Anolis sagrei: one gene and its partners. The main gene of each other region encodes a partner of the protein of the gene in region 2 in a complex. Links are inferred from orthologs where the notes say so. Each region holds a gene or a part of one and is shown on either strand. Other genes may lie near its edges.

Evidence for each region. The genes of interacting proteins can lie anywhere in the genome.
Region 1: the proteins of RHEB (region 2) and PDE6D are in contact, whole or in part, in a crystal structure (PDB 3T5G), measured with the Homo sapiens proteins. The link is inferred for Anolis sagrei from reciprocal best matches to the Homo sapiens genes RHEB and PDE6D. Residues at the interface, in NP_005605.1 of Homo sapiens: Pro2, Gln3, Ser4, Gln57, Asp77, Gln176, Gly177, Lys178, Ser179, Ser180, Cys181; in NP_002592.1 of Homo sapiens: Ile53, Leu54, Cys56, Val59, Val80, Gln85, Cys86, Leu87, Glu88, Glu89, Trp90, Ile109, Glu110, Ala111, Ala112, Pro113, Gln116, Met117, Met118, Leu123, Tyr149.
Region 3: the proteins of RHEB (region 2) and MTOR are in contact, whole or in part, in a cryo-EM structure (PDB 6BCU), measured with the Homo sapiens proteins. The link is inferred for Anolis sagrei from reciprocal best matches to the Homo sapiens genes RHEB and MTOR. Residues at the interface, in NP_005605.1 of Homo sapiens: Lys5, Ser6, Arg7, Lys8, Arg15, Pro37, Ile39, Glu40, Thr42, Gln57, Ala62, Asp65, Tyr67, Ile69, Gln72, Thr73, Ser75, Ile76, Asp77, Asn79, Asp105, Met106, Val107, Gly108, Lys109, Val110, Ile112; in NP_001373429.1 of Homo sapiens: Arg62, His69, Glu73, Ala101, Thr102, Ile104, Gly105, Arg106, Asn109, Tyr110, Arg112, Asn113, Phe140, Glu143, Tyr144, Phe147, Glu154, Arg160, Thr969, Gln973, Phe977, Lys980, Glu1010, Phe1011, Gln1014, Met1018, Ser1050, Thr1051, Asn1264, Lys1293.

What each region holds. Positions count from the first base shown.
Region 1 is NC_090023.1:266,472,506-266,479,337, forward strand, and holds the start of PDE6D (retinal rod rhodopsin-sensitive cGMP 3',5'-cyclic phosphodiesterase subunit delta), read left to right. Parts: upstream 1-3,819; 5' UTR 3,820-3,894; coding exon 3,895-3,953; intron 3,954-6,832. UniProt on the Homo sapiens protein: Promotes the release of prenylated target proteins from cellular membranes. Modulates the activity of prenylated or palmitoylated Ras family members by regulating their subcellular location.
Region 2 is NC_090026.1:122,292,536-122,299,705, forward strand, and holds the start of RHEB (GTP-binding protein Rheb), read left to right. Parts: upstream 1-4,170; 5' UTR 4,171-4,444; coding exon 4,445-4,496; intron 4,497-7,170. UniProt on the Homo sapiens protein: Small GTPase that acts as an allosteric activator of the canonical mTORC1 complex, an evolutionarily conserved central nutrient sensor that stimulates anabolic reactions and macromolecule biosynthesis to promote cellular biomass generation and growth.
Region 3 is NC_090033.1:7,029,674-7,037,354, forward strand, and holds the start of MTOR (serine/threonine-protein kinase mTOR), read left to right. Parts: upstream 1-4,668; 5' UTR 4,669-4,748; exon of another isoform or gene 4,749-4,763; intron 4,764-4,774; exon of another isoform or gene 4,775-4,897; intron 4,898-7,538; 5' UTR 7,539-7,580; coding exon 7,581-7,681. Other genes in the region: EXOSC10 (exosome complex component 10), read right to left, coding at 1,555-1,723, 1,797-1,901, 2,008-2,131, 2,384-2,520, 4,289-4,396. UniProt on the Homo sapiens protein: Serine/threonine protein kinase which is a central regulator of cellular metabolism, growth and survival in response to hormones, growth factors, nutrients, energy and stress signals.

The sequences.
Region 1 (6,832 bases), on a different chromosome or scaffold from region 2:
ACCACTGCAATAGACTGTTAAGAAAGCCTTAAAGTACCTGTTTGTTTTCATTAATAAAGAACTTTGTTGAACCTTTAAGCAATCTAAAGACTCTGTTTTAAGGAAATCCAAGGGCCTTTAATCTGAGGCAGCCCGGGTGTCCCGTTGGGCACACGGAATTTATGTCCTGTCTACAGTCTTATGCACAGGCCTAGCGTGCAACAGCACAATGTTTATATGTATATATGGTTTATTTTGGGGGTTTTTAGGGTGTATATTGTATATTGGTGTATATGTATGTGTGTGTATATATGTATATTTGTGTGTGTTTGCGTGTATATATATATATGTATGTGTGTCTGTATGCATGTGTACATGTATATGAATGTATGTGTATATGTATATATGGTTTATTTTGGGGGGGGGGTTAGAGTGTATATGTATAGAAGTGTATATGTATGTGTGTGTATATGTGTATATTTGTGTCTGCTTGCATATATATATGTGTGTGTGTGTGTCTGTATGTATGTGTACATGTATATGAATGTATGTGTATATGTATATATGGTTTATTTTGGGTCTTTTTAGGGTGTATATGTATAGAGGTGTATATGTATGTGTGTGTATATATGTATATTTGTGCATGCTTGCATGTATATGTGTGTGTGTGTCTGTATGTATGTGTACATGTGTAAATGTATATGAATGTATGTGTATATGTATATATGGTTTATTTTGGGGGGGGGGGTTAAGGGTGTATATGTGTAGAGGTGTATATATATGTGTGTGTATGTGTATATTTGTGTGTGCTTCCGGGATATGTATATATGGTTTATTTTGGGTCTTTTTAGGGTGTATATGTATATAGGTGTATATGTGTATATTTGTGTCTGCTTGCATATATATGTGTGTGTGTCTGTATGTATGTGTACATGTATATGAATGTATGTGTATATGTTTATATGGTTTATTTGGGGTTTTTTTGGGGTTTTAGGGGTGATTGTCACTCTTTGGCCTGTTAGTTGTATTGTGTCCAAATTTGGTGCCAATTCGCCCAGTGTTTTTTGAGTTATGTTTATCCCACAAATGAATCTTATATAGAAATAATTATATATAAATAATAATTATATATAAATAACGAATCTTATATAGAAATAATTATATAAATAATTATAATATAATAATAAACGAATCTTATATAGAAATAATTATATATAAATAATTATAATATAATAATAAACAAATCTTATATAGAAATAATTATATATAAATAATAATTACATATAAATAACGAATCTTATATAGAAATATTATATAAATAATTATCATATAATAATAAACGAATCTTATATAGAAATAATTATATATAAATAATTATAATATATATAGGTGTGTATATGTGTGTGCATATATGTATATTTGTGTCTGCTTGTGTATATATATGTGTGTGTGTGTCTATATGTATGTGTACATGTATATGAATGTATGTGTATATGTATATATGGTTTATTTTGGGGGGGGTTAGGGTGTATATGTATAGAGGTGTATATGTATGTGTGTGTATATGTGTATATTTGTGTGTGCTTGCGTATATATATATATATATATGTGTGTCTGTATGCATGTGGACATGTGTACATGTATATGAATGTATGTGTATATGTATATATGGTTTATTTTGGGGGTTTTTTAGGGTGTATATGAATATTGGTGTATATGTATGTGTGTGTATATGTGTATATTTGTGTGTGCTTGCGTATATATATATATATGTATGTGTGTCTGTATGCATGTGGACATGTGTACATGTATATGAATGTATGTGTATATGTATATATGGTTTATTTTTGGGGGGGGTTAGGATGTATATGTATAGAGGTGTATATGTATGTCTGTGTATATATGTATATTTGTCCATGCTGGCATGTATATATGTGTGTGTGTCTGTATGTATGTGTGCATGTGTACATGTATATGAATGTATGTGTGTATGTATATATGGTTTAAATTGGGGGGGGTTGTGTGTTTTTAGGGGTGATTGTCACTCTTTGGACTGTTAGGTGTATTGTATCCAAATTTGGTGTCAATTCGCCCAGTGTTTTTTGAGTTATGTTTATCCCACAAACGAATCTTATATAGAAATAAGATTTCATTCATATCTCTTTCTCTAAAAGGTAACAACTTGTGAAAACGTACGTGTGAAAAAGATCTTGGAGTCCTTGTGGACAACAAGTTAAACATGAGCCAACAATGTGATGTGGCGGCAAAAAATGCCAATGGGATTTTGGCCTACATCAATAGGAGTCTAGTGTCTAGATCTAGGGAAGTCATGCTCCCCATGCTCTATTCTGCTCTGGTTAGACCACACCTGGAATATTGTGTCCAATTCTGGGCACCACAATTCAGGAAATCAGAAGACGCTTCCTTCTTGGGAGGAGAGCAATGTCCAATCTCGATAAAATAGTAAAGAGTAGAGACATCAGACTGGCAACAAAGATCCGCCTAGTCAAAGCCATGGTATTCCCTGTAGTGACCTACGGATGTGAGAGCTGGACCTTAGGGAAGGCTGAGCGAAGGAAGATCGATGCTTTTGAGCTGTGGTGTTGGAGGAAAGTTCTGAGAGTGCCTTGGACTGCGAGAAGATCCAACCAGTCCATCCTCCAGGAAATAAAGCCCGACTGCTCACTGGAGGGAAAGATACTAGAGACAAAGTTGAAGTACTTTGGTCACATCATGAGGAGACAGGAAAGCCTAGAGAAGACAATTATGCTGGGGAAAGTGGAAGGCAAAAGGAAGAGGGGCCGACCAAGGGCAAGATGGATGGATGGCATCCTTGAAGCGACTGGACTGACCTTGAGGGAGCTGGGGGTGGTAACGGCCGACAGGGAGCTCTGGCGTGGGCTGGTCCATGAGGTCACGAAGAGTCGGAGACGACTGAACGAATGAACAACAACAACAAATTGACAAGCTGGAATGTGTCCAGAGGAGGGCGACTAAAATGATCAAGGGTCTGGAGAACAAGCCCTATGAGGAGCGGCTTAACGAGCTGGGCATGTTTAGCCTGAAGAAGAGAAGGCTGAGAGGGGATATGATAGCAATGTATAAATATGTGAGAGGAAGCCACAGGGAAGAGGGAGCAAGCTTGTCTTCTGCTTCCCTGGAGACTAGGACGCAATGGAACAATGGCTTCAAACTACAAGAGAGGAGATTCCATCTGAACACGAGGAAGAACTTCCTGACTGTGAGAGCCGTTCAGCAGTGGAACTCTCTGCCCCGGAGTGTGGTGGAGGCCCCTTCTTTGGAAGCTTTTAAGCAGAGGCTGGATGGCCATCTGTCAGGGGTGATTTGAATGCAACATTCCTGCATCTTGACAGGGGGTTGGACTGGATGGCCCATGAGGTCTCTTCCAACTCTTTGATTCTATGATTCTATGATATATAAACCCTTTTTCCTAGTTCCAACAGACCTCCCTACCTCTGAGGATGCTTGCCATAGATGCAGGCGAAACGTCAGGAGAGAATGCCTCTAGAACATGGTCATATAGCCCCAAAAAACCTACAACAACCCATTCACCCAATCCTCCGTGCCCTGCTCTGTCCACCAGGGGGCGCTCTTCTCTACGCCTTCCTAGCATTGCCCATTTCGAGCCATAGCGTTCGCTTCTCGGTGGAGATTGTCCCGCGGCGAGACCCGTCAGCCCCTCACTCTCTCCTGCGGTTGCTGGGGCGTCTCTTCCTTAGCGACTGAGCCGGGGAAGGGAGCCTCCCTCGGATTGGCCGCCGGCGCTGCCTGTGTGGGGAAGCCCCGGCTGGGATTGGTCGAGCGGGGCGTAGTAGGCGGGGCGTGTTGTGTGGAGGGCTGGTTCCGCCGGCGTCGGGGCGTCCGAGGCGCCTCTCTCTCCGGCCCAGAGGAGCCATGTCCGGCCAGGAGGAGGAGGAGGAGCGCGCCAAGGAGATCCTCAGGGGCTTCAAGCTGTATCCCAGGGAAGGAAGGAAAGAAAGGAAAGAAAGCAAGCGGGGGAACGAGGAGGCCAGGGATGGAGGCCCAGCTCCTGCGGGTTTGCTCGGGGAATTACGGTACAGAAGCCTTGCTTGGGAGGGGAGAGGGAGGGGGATATGGGGGAATATGGGAGGCTACTTCAATAATAATAATAATAATAATAATAATAATGTTCTAGAGGCATTCTCTCCTGACGTTTCGCCTGCATCTATGGCAAGCATCCTCAGAGGTAGTGAGGTCTGTTGGAACTAGGAAAATGGGTTTATATATCTGTGGAATGACCAGGGTGGGACAAAGAACTCTTCTCTGCTGGAGCTAGGTGTGAATGTTTCAACTGACCACCTTCATTAGCATTAGAAGGCCTGGCTGAGCCTGGGGGAATCTTTTGTTGAGAGGCGATTAGATGTGCCTGATCGTTTACTCTCTGCTGTTTTGCTGTTGTAATTTTTGAGTTTTTTTTAATACTGGTAGCCAGATTTTGTTCATTTTCATGGTTTCCTCCTTTCTGTTGAAATTGTCCACATGCTTGTGTATTTCAATGGCTTCTCTGTGGAGTCTGACATGGTCCCAGCATTTCTGTGTTCTCAAATAATATGCTGTGTCCAGATCAGTTCCTCAGGTGCTCTGCTATGGCTGACTTCTCTGGTTGAAGGAGTCTGCAGTGCTTTTCATGTTCCTTGATTCGTGTTTGGGCAACGATGCTGCGTTTGGTGTTCCCTCTGTAGACTTGTCCACAGCTGCATGGTACACGGTGGACTCCTGCAGCGGTGAGAGGATCCCTCTTGTCCATTGCTGAACGAAGCATTTGTTGTATCTTCTTGGTGGGTCCGTAGGTTGTTTGTATGTTGTGTTTCCTCATCAGCTTCCCTCTGTGGTCAGTGGTTCCCTTGATGTATGGCAGGAACACTTTTCCTCTGGGTGGATCTTCATCTTGACTCTTGTGGCTTGTTCTGGGTCTTGCAGCTCTTCTGATGTCTGAGGTGGAGTCTCCATTGGCCTGGAGAGCCCAGTTGAGGTGGTTCCCCCAGGCTCAGCCAGGCCTTCTAATGCTAATGAAGGTGGTCAGTTGAAACATTCACACCTAGCTCCAGCAGAGAAGAGCTCTTTGTCCCACCCCAGTCATTCCACAGACATATAAACCCATTTTCCTATTTCCAACAGACCTCACTACCTCTGAGGATGCTTGCCATAGATGCAGGCGAAACGTCAGGAGAAAATGCCTCTAGAACATGGCCATATAGCCTGAAAAAACCCACAAGAACCTAGCAGAGTAAATAATAATAAACTATTGTATTCCTTTGTATACCTGACCTTTTTTCACGTGAGATCTAAAGCAGCTATAAATAAATATAATAATAATAAATGGCAGAGGAAATAACAATTTAAATGTATCAAATCCTGATCTCTTTCACATGAGATCAAAGGCGGATATAAATATAATAATAATAAAGGGCAGATATAATAATAATAATAATAATAATAATAATAATAAATAGCAGAGGAAATAATAATAAACTATCGTATTCCTTTGTATACCTGACCTTTTTTCACATGAGATCAAAGGCGGATATAAATAAATATAATAATAATAAATGGCAGAGGAAATAATAACAATTTAAACAAACTACCGTATTTCTTTGTATCAAAACCTGCCCTTTTTTCACGTGAGATCAAAGGTGGATATAATAATAATAATAATAATAATAATAATAATAATAAATGGCAGATACAAATATAATTATATGAACCACTAAGACAATTAAGATCTTCTGGTGGGGCCCTGCTCTCAATCCCACCACTTTCGCAATCGCATCTGGTGGGAATGAGAGACAGGGCCTTTTCTGTGGTGGCCCCTCGGCTATGGAATTCTCTCCCAATTGAGATCAGATATGCCCCCTCCCTCCTGTCCTTCAGGAGGCTGGTGAAATCTTGGCTATGGAAGGAAGCATTCCCAAAGTAATGGATGAAACCGGCTACAGAACAAAGTTATCGACCACACAAACGGACTGAGTTGGACATGATTTTATCTTGGCGATTTGGCTTATTTGTAATTTTAATCGATATGTATTTTAACTTGTTATTATATGATGTTTTTAGATAATACTATTAGCATTGAATCCTTGCTGTAAGCCGGTTTGAGTCAAGGAGGTGAGAAGATCGGGATATAAAAGTTTTAAATAAATAATAATAAATAATAAGAATAATAAATAGCAGAGGAAATAATAATAAACTACCGTATTCCTTTGTATCTAAGGTTCCCCATTTTTTTAACTTGAGATCAAAACTCAAGTGAAACTCACTTTTTTGCACTGGAGATCAATGGCAGACATAAATATAATGATTTTTTTTCATGTCAGGAGCGACTTGAGAAATTGCAAGTCGCTTCTGGTGTGAGAGAATTGACTGTCTGCAAGGACGGTGCCCAGGGGACGCCCAGGTGTTTTGATGTTTTAATGTTTTACCATCCTTGGGAGGTTTCTCTCATGTCCCCCATGGGGAGCTGGAACTGACAGAGGGAGCTCATCCGCGCTGTCCCCGGAGTTGAACTTCCAACCTTCCGGTCTTCAGTCCTGCCGGCTATATAATGATAATTATAATATATTATTATCACAGTATAATAATAATAATAAATGGCAGATATAAATATAATGACAATAATACATGGCAGATATAAATATAACGATAATAATAATACATGGCAGATATAAATATAATAACAGTAATAAATGGCAGATATAAATATATGATGATGATAATAAGTGACAGATATAAATATAATTACGATGATAATAATAAAAATGGCAGATATAAATATAATAACAATAAATGGCAGATATAAATATAATAACAATAA
Region 2 (7,170 bases):
AAATCTGATCTGGCAACAGTGGTCCATGCTCTTGTTACATCCCAAATAGATTACTGCAACGCACTCTATGTAGGGCTGCCTTTGAAGACTGTTCAAAAACATCAACTAGCCCAACAGGCTGCAGCCAGATTACAAACTGGAGCACACTGGTTGCCGATCCACTTCCGAGCTCAATTCAAAGCCCTGGTTTTGACCTATAAAGCCCTATATGGTTCTGACCCAGCTTACTTGTCTGAAAGCATCTCCCTCTATGTCCCGCCTTGCAGTTTAAGATCATCCGGGGAGGCCCTGCTCTCACTCCCGCCAGTCGCAAATACTTCTGGCGGGGACGAGAGACAGGGCCTTCTCAGCTGTAGCCGCCCCGCCTGAGCATCTCCCTCTATGTCTTGCAGTGTAAGATCATCTGGGGAGACCCTGCTCTCACTCCCACCAGCGTTGCAAATACGTCTGATGGGGACGAGAGACAGGGCCTTCTCGGCTGTGGAACTCGCGTTCCAACAAGGTAAGATCGCCTTCATCTCTCCTGTCTTTTAAGAAGAAATTGAAGTCATGGTTCTTGGACCAGACTTTTGGACAGCAAGCATAAATAGTGCTTTGGATATAGAATTTGACTGGAATGGTGATACAGTGGTTAATACTGTTATTGTTTTAATTAATGTTCTATTTATTGTTTTAATTGTTGTTATATTGCTTTGTTATATTTAATGGCATCAAATTGTGCCAAATGTAAGCCGTCCTAAGTCCAATGTATTTTCGAAGGCTTTCATGGCCGGAATCACTGGGTGGTTGTAGGCTTGGTGGGACAAGGATGGGACAAAGGAGTCTTGTCTTCTGGGGCTACGTGTGAATGTTTCAACTGAACACCTTGATTAGCACTTGATGGCCTGGCAGTGCCTGGGGCAATCTTTTGTTGAGAGGTGATTAGATGTCCCAGAACCAACCTGTACACACCATATTATTTGAAAACACAGAAATGCTGTACCACTTTCACGACCACCATGTCAGATTACACAGAGAAGCCATTGAAATCCATAACCATGTGGACAATTTCAACAGAAAGGAGGAAACCATGAAAATGAACAAAATCTGGCTACCAGTATTTAAAAAAACTCTAAAATTACAACAGCAAAACAACAGAGAGGAAACAATCTGGGACATCTAATCACCTCTCAACAAAAGATTGCCCCAGGCACTGCCAGGCCATCAAATGCTAATCAAGGTGGTCAGTTGAAACATTCACACCTAGCTCCATCAGACAAGAGTCCTTTGTCCCACCCTGGTCAATCCACATATATATAAACCCTTTTTTCCTAGTTCCAACAGACCTCACTACCTCTGAGGATGCTTGCCATAGATGCAGGCGAAACGTCAGGAGAGAATGCCTCTAGAACATGGTCATATAGCCCGAAAAAACCTACAACAACCCGTTCTGAGTCCCCTCATGGGGGTTGAGAAGGACGGGATAGAAATGCTGGAAATAAATAAACTGCATTAGGTTCTTGTGGGTTTTTTCGGGCTATATGGCCATGTTCTAGAGCCATTTTCTCCTGACATTTCACCTGCATCTATGGCAAGCATCCTCAGAGGTTGTGAGGTCTGTTGGAGTTAGAAAAATGGGTTTACATATCTGTGGAATGACTGGGGTGGGGCAAAGAGCTCTTCTCTGCTGGAGCTAGGTGTAAATGTTTCAACTGACCACCTTCATTAGCATTTGAAGGCCTGGCTGAGCCTGGGGAATCTTTTGTTGAGAGGTGATTAGATGTCCCAGATTGTTTACTACTCTGGGTGGTTCTTCATCTTTACTCTCATGGCTTGTTCTTGGAGAACAAGCCACGAGAGTCAAGATGAAGATGCACCCAGAGGAAAAGTGTTCCTGCCATACATCAAGGGAACCACTGACCGCATAGGGAAGCTGATGAGGAAACACAACCTACAAACAATCTACAGACTCACCAAGAAAATCCAACAAATGCTACGTTCAGCAAAGGACAAGAGGGATCCTCTCACTTCTGCAGGAGTCTACCGTGTACCATGCAGCTGTGGAAAAGTCTACATAGGGACCACCAAACACAGACACGAATCAAGGAACATGAAAGGCACTGCAGACTAACTCAACCAGAGAAGTCAGCCATAGCAGAGCACCTGATGAACCAGCCTGGACACAGCATATTATTTGAGAACACAGAAATGCTGGACCACACCAACAACCACCATGTCAGACTACACAGAGAAGCCATTGAAATCCAGAAGCATGTGGACAATTTCAACAGAAAGGAAGAGACCATGAAAATGAACAAAACTCTAAAATTACAACAGCAAAAGAGCAGAGAGGAAACAACCAGGCACATCTTAACACCTCTCAACAAAAGATTTTCCCAGGCTCAGCCAGGCCTTCAAATGCTAATCAAGGTGGTCAGCTGAAACATTCACACCTAACTGCAGCAGGGAAGAGCTCCTTGCCCCACCCTAGCCATTCCATAGATATATAAACCCATTTTCCTAATTCCAACAGACCTCACTACCTCTGAGGATGCTTGCCACAGATGCAGGCGAAACGTCAGGAGAAAATGCCTCCAGAACATGGCCATATAGCCCGAAAAACCCCCACAAGAACCTAGTGATTCCAGCCATGAAAGCCTTCCACAATACATTAAACTGCATTAATTATGCAATATAGGCTGTTTACATTGACATGTATGGGAAAAATGGTTCAAGGATGGATTCCCCTTTAAGCCAATGCACTTCAAGCTCTCTCTTACAGAGGACAGGCGTTTTACCCTATATGTACAAGGGTGCATCTACACTCCAAACTTAATGCAGTTCGACATCCCGTTAACAACGCCTAGTATTCCATAGTTCGAGCTCAGAATGTTTTGCCCCTGCCCACCACGTGCACGCCCGCCTCGTTCCTTCCGCAATCGAGCCCCCGCCCTCACCCCATTTCCCACCAATCAGAGAGCGCGCGTCCTCTATAACCTGCCATTGAGTGATTTAGCCAATAGAGAAAGACCTCGGGATCAATCGAATGCCATCAGAGCCGTCCAACCAGTGCTCGTGCTGTTGGTGACGTAATAGTAGGGCGGGAGCGAAGAACTATCCAATACCAGCTTCCTTTTTTCTTTTAAAGACAAGCTTCGGAGCCGGCCAATCAGTGTTCGCAGTTGTGGTGACGTAACCCTCGGGGCGGGTCCAAAGTACAATACCAGCATTCCATTTTTTTTAAAGACAAGCATTGGAACTGGCCAATCAGCGTTCGCGCTTATGGTGACGTAACGGGAGGGCGGGAGCGAAGAACAATCCAATGCCAGCATTCCTTTTTTTTCATTAAAAGAATAGCCTCGGAACCGGCCAACCAACGCTCGCGGTTGTGGTGACGTAACCCTCGGGGCGGGACCAAAGAACAATCCAATTTCAGAGTTTATTAAAAAAGACAAGCTTCGGAGACGGCCAATCAGCGTTCGCGCTTATGGTGACGTAACGGGAGGGCGGGCGCGAAGAACAATCCAATTTCAGAGTTCATTTAAAAAGACCAGCTTCGGAGCCGACCAATCAGCGTTCGTGCTTGTGGTGACGTAACAGGAGGGCGGGAGCGAAGAACAATCCAATGTCAGCGTTCCCTTTTTCTTTAAAAGACAAGCTTCGAAGCCGGCCAATGAGCGTTCGCCTTTGTGGTGACGTAACAGCAAGGCGGGACAAAATCAGCGTTCCTTTTTTTCTTTAAAAGACAAGCATCGGAGCGGGCCAACCAGCGTTCCGACTTGTGGTGACATAACAGCAGGGCGGGACCAAAGAACAATTCAATACCAGCGTTCCTTTTCTTTCTTTAAAAGACAAGCATCGGAGCGGGCCAACCAGAGTTCCCGTTTACAATGACGAAACGAAAAGGCGGGAGCGGCGAAAGGATTTAAACCAATAGGAAGCGACTTAAACCTATTGGTTTAAAAGGATTTAAACCAATAGGAAGTGTTTGTGTTTTGCAACGGCACTGGCTCCGTCCAATCACCGCTCGCGCTTCCCGTGACGTATGTGAAGGGGGCGGGGACTATGGAATGAGGCAGCGAAATATTTTATATTTTTTTCTCTAAGTGGGCGTAAACAAACCACGCCCCTCTCCGTGACGTCACCGCGGCAAACGGAGGCAGAGGAGAGCGCGCGCGCGCAGCCGGAGGTCACGTGAGCAGAAGCGGCGTCCGTTGCGTCGCCTCAGCGAGCCAGTCAGTCGAGGAGTGAGAGAGCCAGAGATCGGCACGTTCTTCCTTTCCTTCCACTTCCAGTGTGTGGTCTCTCTCTCTCAAGTCGGAGACCAGGCCGCGAGGGAGGGAGAACCCTTCCGAAGGCGCTCTTTATATCTGTATATATCTATATTTTCCCTCCCCCGCTTCTTCGCTGCTGCCGCCGTCGAGGCCGGAGCCCTTGATGTGGTTCGGGGCCCAGCGGGGAGAAGATGCCGCCGTCCAAGTCCCGTAAGATCGCCATCCTGGGCTACAGGAGCGTCGGTGAGGCCGCCCACTCGAGGCAGACAACCTTAGCACTACTATTTGGGAAAGTCGTGTTGATATACAGGAGGCCTGAGCCAATTTGGGCCTTGCAGGAGTTTTGGACTCCAACTCCCACCATTCCTAACAGCCTCAGGCCCCTTCCTTTCCCTCCTCAGCCGCTTAAGCGGCTGAGGGGGGAAAGGAAAGGGCCTGAGGCTGTTAGGAATGGTGGGAGTTGGAGTCCAAAACTCCTGCAAGGCCCAAGTTTGTCCAATATTGCATATTTTTCTCACCAATTCGTAATCTTTTTTAATTCAATTTGGGGAGACACGTGTCTTGAGTGTGACTGGTGTCCCTATACACTGGCGCCCCACCAAGGTCTAGCCATTTATGCTCTTGGAATAATAGTGATAATTATAATAATTAGTGTCTTCAAAGCCTTTCGTCATTATATACAGAGTAACTTCACACAATTTATAATCCTGGGTATTATTATTATTATTATTAAGGGGAGTCATGTCTTGCCTTGATGGAGACTCGTTGTTTATATACAAAGCCTCCTCTCTTATTATTAATATTATTATTATTATTATCATGTCTTGCCTTGATGGAGGCTCATTGTTTATATATAGAGTCCTCCATTATTATTATTAAAGGGGGGTCATGTCTTGCCTTGATGGAGACTCGTTTAGATACAGAGCCCTCCTCCCATTATTATTATAATAATAATTATTATTATTATTAAGGGGAATCATGTCTTACCTTGATGGAGACTCGTTGTTTAGATACAGAGCCTCCCATCCCTTATTATTATTATTATTATTATTATTATTATTATTTATCATGTCTTGCCTTGATGGAGACTCATTGTTTATATACAGAGCCCCTCTCCCTTATTATTATTATTAAGGGGAGTCATGTCTTACCTTGATGGGGACTCATTGTTTAGATACAGAGCCCTCCCTTATTATTATTATTATTATTATTTATCATGTCCTGCCTTAATGGAGACTCATTGTTTATATACAGAGCCCTCCTTCCATTATTATTATTATTATTGGGAGTCATGTCTTGCCTTGATGGAGACTCGTTTATATACAGAGCCTTCCCTCCCTTATTATTATTATTATTATTGGGAGTCATGTCTTGCCTTGATGGAGACTCATTATTTATATATAGAGCTTTCCCTATTATTATTATTATTACCATCATCAAGGGGAGTCATGTCTTGCCTTGATGGAGACTCATTGTTTCTATATGGAGCCCTCCCTTCTTCTTCTTCTTATTATTATTATTATTATTATTAAGGGGAGTCATGTCTTGCCTTGATGGAGACTCATTGTTTATATACTGAGCCTCCCTCCCTTATTATTATTATTATTATTATTATTATTAAGGGGAGTCATGTCTTGCCTTGATGGAGACTCATTGTTTAGATACAGAGCCCCCCCTCCATTATTATTATTATTAAGGGGAGTCATGTCTTGCCTTGATGGGGACTCATTTTTATATACAGAGCACCCTCTCCCTTATTATTATTATTATTAGTAGTAGTAGTAGTAGTAGTATTAAGGGGAGTCATGTCTTGCCTTGATGGAGACTCGTTGTTTATATACAGAGCCCTCCCTTATTATTATTATTATTATTATTATCATCATCATCATCATGTCTTGCCTTGATGGAGACTCATTTTTATATACAGAGCCCCCCCCCCTCCATTATTATTAAGGGGAGTCATGTCTTTCCTTGATGGAGACTTGTTGTTTATATACAGAGCCCTCCTTCCATTATTATTATTATTATTATTATTATTATTATTAAGGTGAGTCATGTCTTGCCTTGATGGAGACTCATTGTTTATATACAGAGCCCTCCTTCCATTATTATTATTATTAATAATAATAATAATATTATTAATATTATTAAGGGGAGTCATGTCTCGCCTTGATGGAGACTCATTGTTTATATACAGAGCCCCCTCCCTTATTATTATTATTGTTATTATTAAGGGGAGTCATGTCTTTCCTTGATGGAGACTCATTGTTTATATACAGAACCCTCTCTCCTCCTCCTCCTCCTTCTTATTATTATTAAGGGGAGTCATGTCTTGCCTTGATGGAGACTCATTGTTTATATGCAAAGCCCCCCTCCCCCCGGTATATAGCAGCCATGGGCAAACTTCATTTTGGACTTCAAATCCCACAATTCCTAGCAGCCGGAATTGTATGCAGCCTTAACAGTGCATAATCCTGAAATATTATTATTTGGGAAGACAGGTGTTTTGTTTTGAGAAGGGCCAGTGTTTATAGTCCTGGAATAAAAAATTGGGCCTTTGGGATCTTTGTGGTTTGGTTTCAGAACCCCACATGGAGACCCAAATCTATACATGCTCAAATCCCATTGTCTAAAATGGCCTTGCAAAATTGTGTCCCTTATATAAAATGGCAAAATCAAGACACAGGTGGTTGAATTAGTGGGCACGGAGAACCATCTGCTCCATTAAAGACTCCAATAGTAGAGACAGGGTGCAAAATGGCAAAACTGGGGAGGCTTGCCCCAACCCTGCATCTTCCGTTCAAACTGCATTTTTTTTTCCTGTGCAGGGATAACCACAGGAATACCTGACATAATTTAAGATGGAATGTCTGGTTCTGATGAAATAATTATAATCTCATTTATTCCTCAATGTAAA
Region 3 (7,681 bases), on a different chromosome or scaffold from region 2:
TCAATATATTGGAAGTATATTGGCCAATTACCAGCTTTACCATATGCATGCCAATTACGCAAAAATAACGTAATATCCTTAAATATCCACAGGACAGAGAACTTCAAATGAGGTGAAGCCATTAATAATTGGAAACGCAATAATAATAATAATAATAATAATAATGCTTTACCTGTACATTATAACTCCCAAATAATAATAGTAAAACTTTATTTGTCCAATATCACGTCCTAATAATAATCATAATAATACATTATCTGTACAATATAACTCCCAAATAATAATAGTAAAACTTTATTTGTGCAATATCACGTCCTAATAATAATAATAATAATAATACATTATCTGTACATTATAACTCCCAAATAATAATAGTAAAACTTTATTTGTGCAATATCACTTCCTAATAATAATAAAATATTATCTGTACAATATAACTCCCAAATAATAATAATAATGGGCAAATATATAATATATAACATTACAAATATATAATGTTTCTCATCTGCCAATAATAAAAGATATATATAAAAATAAAAACATAATAAAATTAAAATGTAAAATAAAAGCATAATAAAATAAAAATAATACTTTATCTTTACAATGTAGCTTCCAAATAATAAATCTGTGTAATATAACTCCATAACAATAATAGTAATACTTTATCTGTACATAACTCCCAAATAATAATAGTAATACTTTATCTGTTCAATGTAACTTCCAAATAATAATAATAATAATAATAATAAGGGCCAAATATATGATATATAACATTACAAATGTATAATGTTTCTCATCTGCCAATAATAAAAGATATATATAAAAAAACATAAAAATATAATAAAATTAAAATTAAAATGTAAATTAAAACGGTGCTTCGGTCCCGGAGGTGACTTCGGCAGCCGTGATACTGCATCACATAATAAAATAAAAACAATAATACTTTATCTTTACAATGTAGCTTCCAAATAATAATAATAATAATAATAATAAATCTGTGTAATACAACTCCATAATAATAATAACAGTAATACTTTATCTGTTCAATATAACTTCCAAATAATAATAATAATAATAATATATTATCTGTTCAATATAACTCCCGAATAATAATAATAATAATAATAATAATAATAATAGGGGGTTAGGGGCAAATATGTAATACATAACATTACAAATATATAATCTTTCTCATCTGCCAATAATACAAGAAAGATATACACACACGTATTTGTGTGTTTGTGTATATATAAACATAAAATATATAATAAAAGAAAAAAGAAAAATATAAAATAAAAGCATAATAAAATAATATAATATGATAAAATATAATAATAATATAAAAACTAACTCTCCAAACTCCCTTCCACATTTACTGGTGCTAGGGACACAGGACCCCCCCCCCCCAAATGTAACTTTCCAAATATATCATGTTTCTCATCTGCCACAAAGTCAAATTCTAGTGAGAGTCAGGAGGACAGATGGCCACAACTGCTCCCGGAAGCCCTGTCCTTCCGCCATAGCCAGGCCCCTTTCTGACCCTCGTTCGGTCACCTTCTGGCAGCGGCTTCATGGCGTTGGGTTTGACGAAGAGTTTGGGGACGAAGGGGGTGTTGGAGTTGTCCACTTTCTCCCGGAACCTGAGCTGCGGGCGCAGGATGTTCCTGGCGTGGAGAAGGCGGAAGGTTTCGGGCCGGGACCGCTTGCTAGCCTCGCTGCTCTGCTGGGAGGAGACATGGGCGTTAGCACAACATCACTCCCACATAATATGTAAACAGAAGGAAGAGGAGGTTCACCTTGCGGTTCCAGCTGGAAACGATGGTCTTGGGAGGCTGCAAACCCAAAGGCAGGACCGGCTGCTGGTTCTTGTTCACGCCGGCCGCTTCATCCAAGAGCGTGCCCTGCAATTATGAAGCCATACAGTCGGAAGGGACCCCCAAAGGCCATCCAGTCCAGCCCCCTCCTGCCACCCAAGCCCTCCAACTTATACAGGGCGATCGCACTCACCACGCGCTCCAAAATGGCGTCGTTGGCATCCACCAGCAGGTCGAACTTGTCCTCCAGCTCCGTCACGGTGCTCCGGTCCCGGAGGTGACTTCGGCAGCCGTGATACTGCATCACTTTGCTCATGCTGGGAAATGGTACAGAATACAGCTTCGTAAGAGTCATGTCTACATATTGGGAAGAAGGTCCTAAGGAGGAGGAAGCAGGTTTGCTTTCTCCAGGATTCCAATTTTCTATAGCCTTATGAAGCTTCCAATGTCTGAGAGGCTGGATAGCCATCTGTCAGGAGGGCTTGGAAGGTGCCCCCTGCCTGGCAGAAGAATAGGGTTGGACTGGATGGCCTTTGGAGGTCCCTTCCAACATTCGATGCAAGACTCACCATTGGAGAAGCCGGTCTCCTTGCGTCTCACAATAGGCCTGGAAGCCAGGAAAGCTGCGGTAGAAGTCGTACTCGTCTCCCGGCTGTGGGAGGCCATTGGAGGCCTTGGTGACAGAGACCACAGAGCCCAGGGCATGCTGGGAAGCAAGGGCAGGACAACCGTCAGGAAAGGAAGCCTTGGGAACTCAAGGTAGATAGTTCAGCCTACAATTATCTATCTATCCAGTTCCACCTCTATCTATCAATTTCTACCTCTATCTATTTATCTATCTATCTATCAACTTCTACCTCTATCTATCTATCAATTTCAGCCTCTATCTATCTATCTATCCAGTTCTACCTCTATCTATCTATCAATTTCTACATCTATCTATCTATCCATTTCAGCCTCTATCTATCTATCCATTTCTACCTCTATCTATCCAGTTCTACCTCTATCTATCTATCTATCTATCTATCAATTTCTACATCTATCTATCCAGTTCTACCTCTATCTATCAATCAATTTCTACCTCTATCTATCTATCTATCTATCCATTTCTACATCTATCTATCCAGTTCTACCTCTATCTATCTATCAATGTCTACCTCTATCTGTGTGTATATATGGAAAATAAATTATAAATTATATATATATATATATATATATATATATGACAAAAATATGAATAAAATGGGAAAATTACATTATATATAAGTATATAGCATATGTATGGTGGAAATTAGGGTATAATATATAGACATTGGAAAAATAAATTATATATATATATATATATATATATATATATATATGAGGGAAAAACGTATAAAATGAGAATAATTATATAAACCATATGTATGTATATATATGGAAAATAAATGATAAATTATTAAATATATATATATGAGGAAAATATGTATAAAATGGGAAAATACATTATATATACATACATATATGCATGGTGGAAATTAGAGTATAATATATAGAAATGGGAAAAATAATATATATATTATTTACTTTATTTATATACCGTTTTTCTCAGCCCTCAGATGGCTATATGTATATATATGAGGGGGAAATTGTATAAAATGGGAATAATTATATAAACAATGTGTGTGTGTGTGTGTGTGTGTGTGTATGCAAAATTATTAAATTATTAAATATATTTATGAGGAAAATATGATTACAATGGGAAAATTACATTATATATAGGTATATATGTATGGTGGAAATTAGAGTATGATATATATAAATGGGAACAATAAACTATATATATACATATGGAAAAATTTGTATAAAATGGGAATAATTATATAAACTGTGTGTGTGTGTATGGAAAATAAATTATAAATTATTAAAAATATAAAAATAAAAAGGAAATGTTCATTTTTCAGACCTACACCTCCCAGAATCCTCCTCTCCAAATGGGGGAAAAATAAATGAATGTAAAATATAATTATTTATATCACACACTCAATATAAAACTAACTGATGGATACGTATTATATTAAGATCATAATATAATTCTCTATGGGGAAAATAAGTTAAGACAAATTAAAATAAATATATTAGAATGCATATAAAATTAATAAGCAGAGATTACACTAACACAATATAATTACTGTATATTTAATATATTTAATTTGAAATAAATCAATATAAAATAACAAAAATAACAAAATTTTATTTCAATTCAATATTAAAATAAAAAGATTCCCTTTGAGGGGTAAAACCCAAGCCCAGCAGACATAAAAAGGAAATAATAGGTAGGAAAAGGTCCTTTTGGAGGACTACACTTCCCAGAATCCTTTAAGTGAGGCCTAAGATTCATGAATTGGGCATTCTTCCCTGAAAACTACAATTCCCGGCATGCTTAGCGCGCGCATGCGCTCTCCCGCTGGGGCCTTCTCCTCCCTCAAAACTACCTTCACGAAGGCATCTGCGTCCCCAAATCCGGGCAGGACGAAGCCTTCGCGGTCGGTTTCCATTGCCGTCGCCTCGTCGGGGCCGCTCAATCCTTCCTTCGCCGCCATTTGCCGCTTTTTCTCAGCGAGCGCCGCTTCCTTCTCTCACACAGCCGCCATCTTGGAAAAGAAAGCATACTCCCGCTGAATCTCGCGAAATTTCCCAGAGACGCATTTGATTGGTGTTTCCCTAATGCCGATCTTCTTTATTCTTTCCTTTGATTGGTCTATTCCCAGAAGCCCCTCCCTCGCGCTGAGCGGAGGCGGAGAAGGAAAGGTTGTCTTCGTGGTGGGCAGGAACCAACGCCCGTCACTCACCCTAGCCGCGCCTTCCTATTGGTCTGTTTAGTATTTCGAAGAAGCTGATTGGCTAGTCAAAAGAACGGGGTGGCAAAAGGCGAAGATGAGACTGAGGAGAGAGGTGAGTCGAAAAAAGGTAATTTTTGGGAAGTAAAGAGGACATTTTGGGGGGCAATTCCCCTTCAGAAGGTTTCCCTCAACGAAGGGGAATGTCCACCACGGAATTTACCTCACAATTTACCTCAGAACAGCAAGAATATCCTTTGTGAGGTGAGTGATCATGAGAGCAGGGATAATAATAATGTTAATTACTATTAGATAACAATAATATAATAGTAATTAACAACAATAGCAGGTCTAACATGGCCACGAATATTAATAATGATAATAAAAATAGTTATAATAGTATTAATAACACTAATAAAATGGCTGATAGGGAAGAGGATAATAACAACAACAACAATAATAAAGATAATAATGTAATGAGGGCAATAGCAATAGGGTAATAATAATAATGTAATGGCAATAGCAGTAGGATAATGATAATAATAATAATGTAATAAGGACAATAGCAGTACAATAATAATGTAATAATAATAGCAGTACAATAATAATAATAGTAAGGTAATAACAATAGCAGTAGGATAATGATGATGATAATAATAATAATAAGAAGAAGAACTAGTAGGATAATAATGTAATTACAATAGCAGTAAGTAATAATAATAATATAATAATAGCAGTAGGGTTATAATAATAATAAGGTAATAATAGCAGTAGGATAATGATGATAATAATGATGTAATTACAATAGCAGCAGGGTAATAATAATGTAATAAGAACAATAGTAGGATGATAATAATAATGTAATAAGAATAGCAGTAGGATAATAATAATAATGATAGCAGTAGAGGAATAATAAGAATAATGTAATAAGAATAGCAGTACAATAGTAATAATAGTAAGGTAATAACAATAGCAGTAGGATAATGATGATGATGATAATAATAATAAGAAGAAGAAATAGTAGGATAATAATGTAATTACAATAGCAGTAGGTAATAAGAATAATGTAATAAGAATAGCAGTACAATAATAATAATAGTAAGGTAATAACAATAGCAGTAGGATAATGATGATGATTATAATAATAATAATAAGAAGAAATAGTAGGATAATAATGTAATTACAATAGCAGTAGGTAATAAGAATAATGTAATAAGAATAGCAGTACAATAGTAATAATAGTAAGGTAATAACAATAGCAGTAGGATAATGATGATGATGATGATGATGATAAGAAGAAGAAGAAATAGTAGGATAATAATGTAACTACAATAGCAGTAGGTAATAAGAATAATGTAATAAGAATAGCAGTACAATAGTAATAATAGTAAGGTAATAACAATAGCAGTAGGATAATGATGGTGATGATGATGATGATAAGAAGAAGAAGAAGAAGAAATAGTAGGATAATAATGTAATTACAATAGCAGTAGGTAATAAGAATAATGTAATAATAATAGCAGTAAGGTTATAATAATAATAAGGTAGTAATAGCAGTAGGATAATGATGATGATAATAATAATGTAATTACAATAGCAGCAGGGTAGTAATAATAATAATAATCATATAAGAACAATAGTAGGATGATAATAATAATGTAATAATAGCAGTAGGATAATATTAATAATAGCTGTAGAGGAATAATAATAATAATGTAATAAGAACAATAGTAGGATGATGATAATAATAATGTAATTACAATAGCAGTAGGATAATAATAAGAATAATAATAATAATAATAGCAGCAGTAGAGGAATAATAATAATAATAATAATGTAATAAGAACAATAGTAGGATGATAATAATGTAATAATAATAGCAGTAGGGTAATAATAATGTAATAATAATAGCAGTAGAGGAATAATAATAACAATAATAATAATAATAATGTAATAACAATAGCAGTAGGCTGATGATGATGATGATGATGATAATAATAATGTAAGCAGAAAAATAGCAGTAGAGTAATAATAATGTAATAAGAACAATAGCAGGATAGTAATAATAATAGCAGTAGGGTAATAATAATGGAATAATAGCAGTAGCGTAATAAAGATGATAACAATGTAATAAGAACAATAGCAGGATGATAATAATAATAATAATGGAATAACAATAACAGTAGAGTAATAATAATAATGTAATAATAGTAGGATAATAATATTAATATAATAACAATAGCAGTAGTATAATAATGTAATAATAGCAAGAGGGGAATAATAATGTAATAAGAAAAAATAGGATAATAATAATAATTAAATAACAATAGCAGTAGGATAATAATAATGTAATAATAACAGTAGGATAATGATGATAATAGTAATAATGTAATAAGAAAAATAGCAGTAGGATAATAATTAATTGCAATAGTAGTAGGGTAATAATAATAATAGTAATAATGTAATAAGAACAATAGCAGTAGGATAATAATAATAATAATAATAATAATAATAATAGCAGCAGTAATGACACTGCTGCCAAGGATGATGATGATGATGATAATAATAATAATAATAAAGATAATACTAATAATGTAATAAGAACAATAGCAGGAGACTAATAATAATATTAATAACACTGCTGCCTACTCGGATCTGCACGCATTATTCGCCGATACATCACATAGTCCTAGACATTTGGAAAGTGTCCAATGTGTGATCGAATACAAAAGCCAGCAGAATTATCTTGTTTGTTGTGTACCAGTCCTGTTGTGCATCAAATAATCATAATAATAATATTGATAATAATAGCAAGCCTGCTGCCGAGGATGGCGGCACTTGCTGTGTTACGTTGCGGCCTTTTTCTTCCTTTGGCTTTTTCAGAATGGTTTCCTTCTGTTTCCAGGACCCTAAAGAACCCCATAGATTCTGATCCACCACCGCCACCATGTCGGGGACCGTCATTATCCTCCAGCAGTTTGCCACCGGCCTCAAGAGCAGGAATGAAGAAACCCGGGCAAAAGCGGCCAAAGACCTGCAGCATTATGT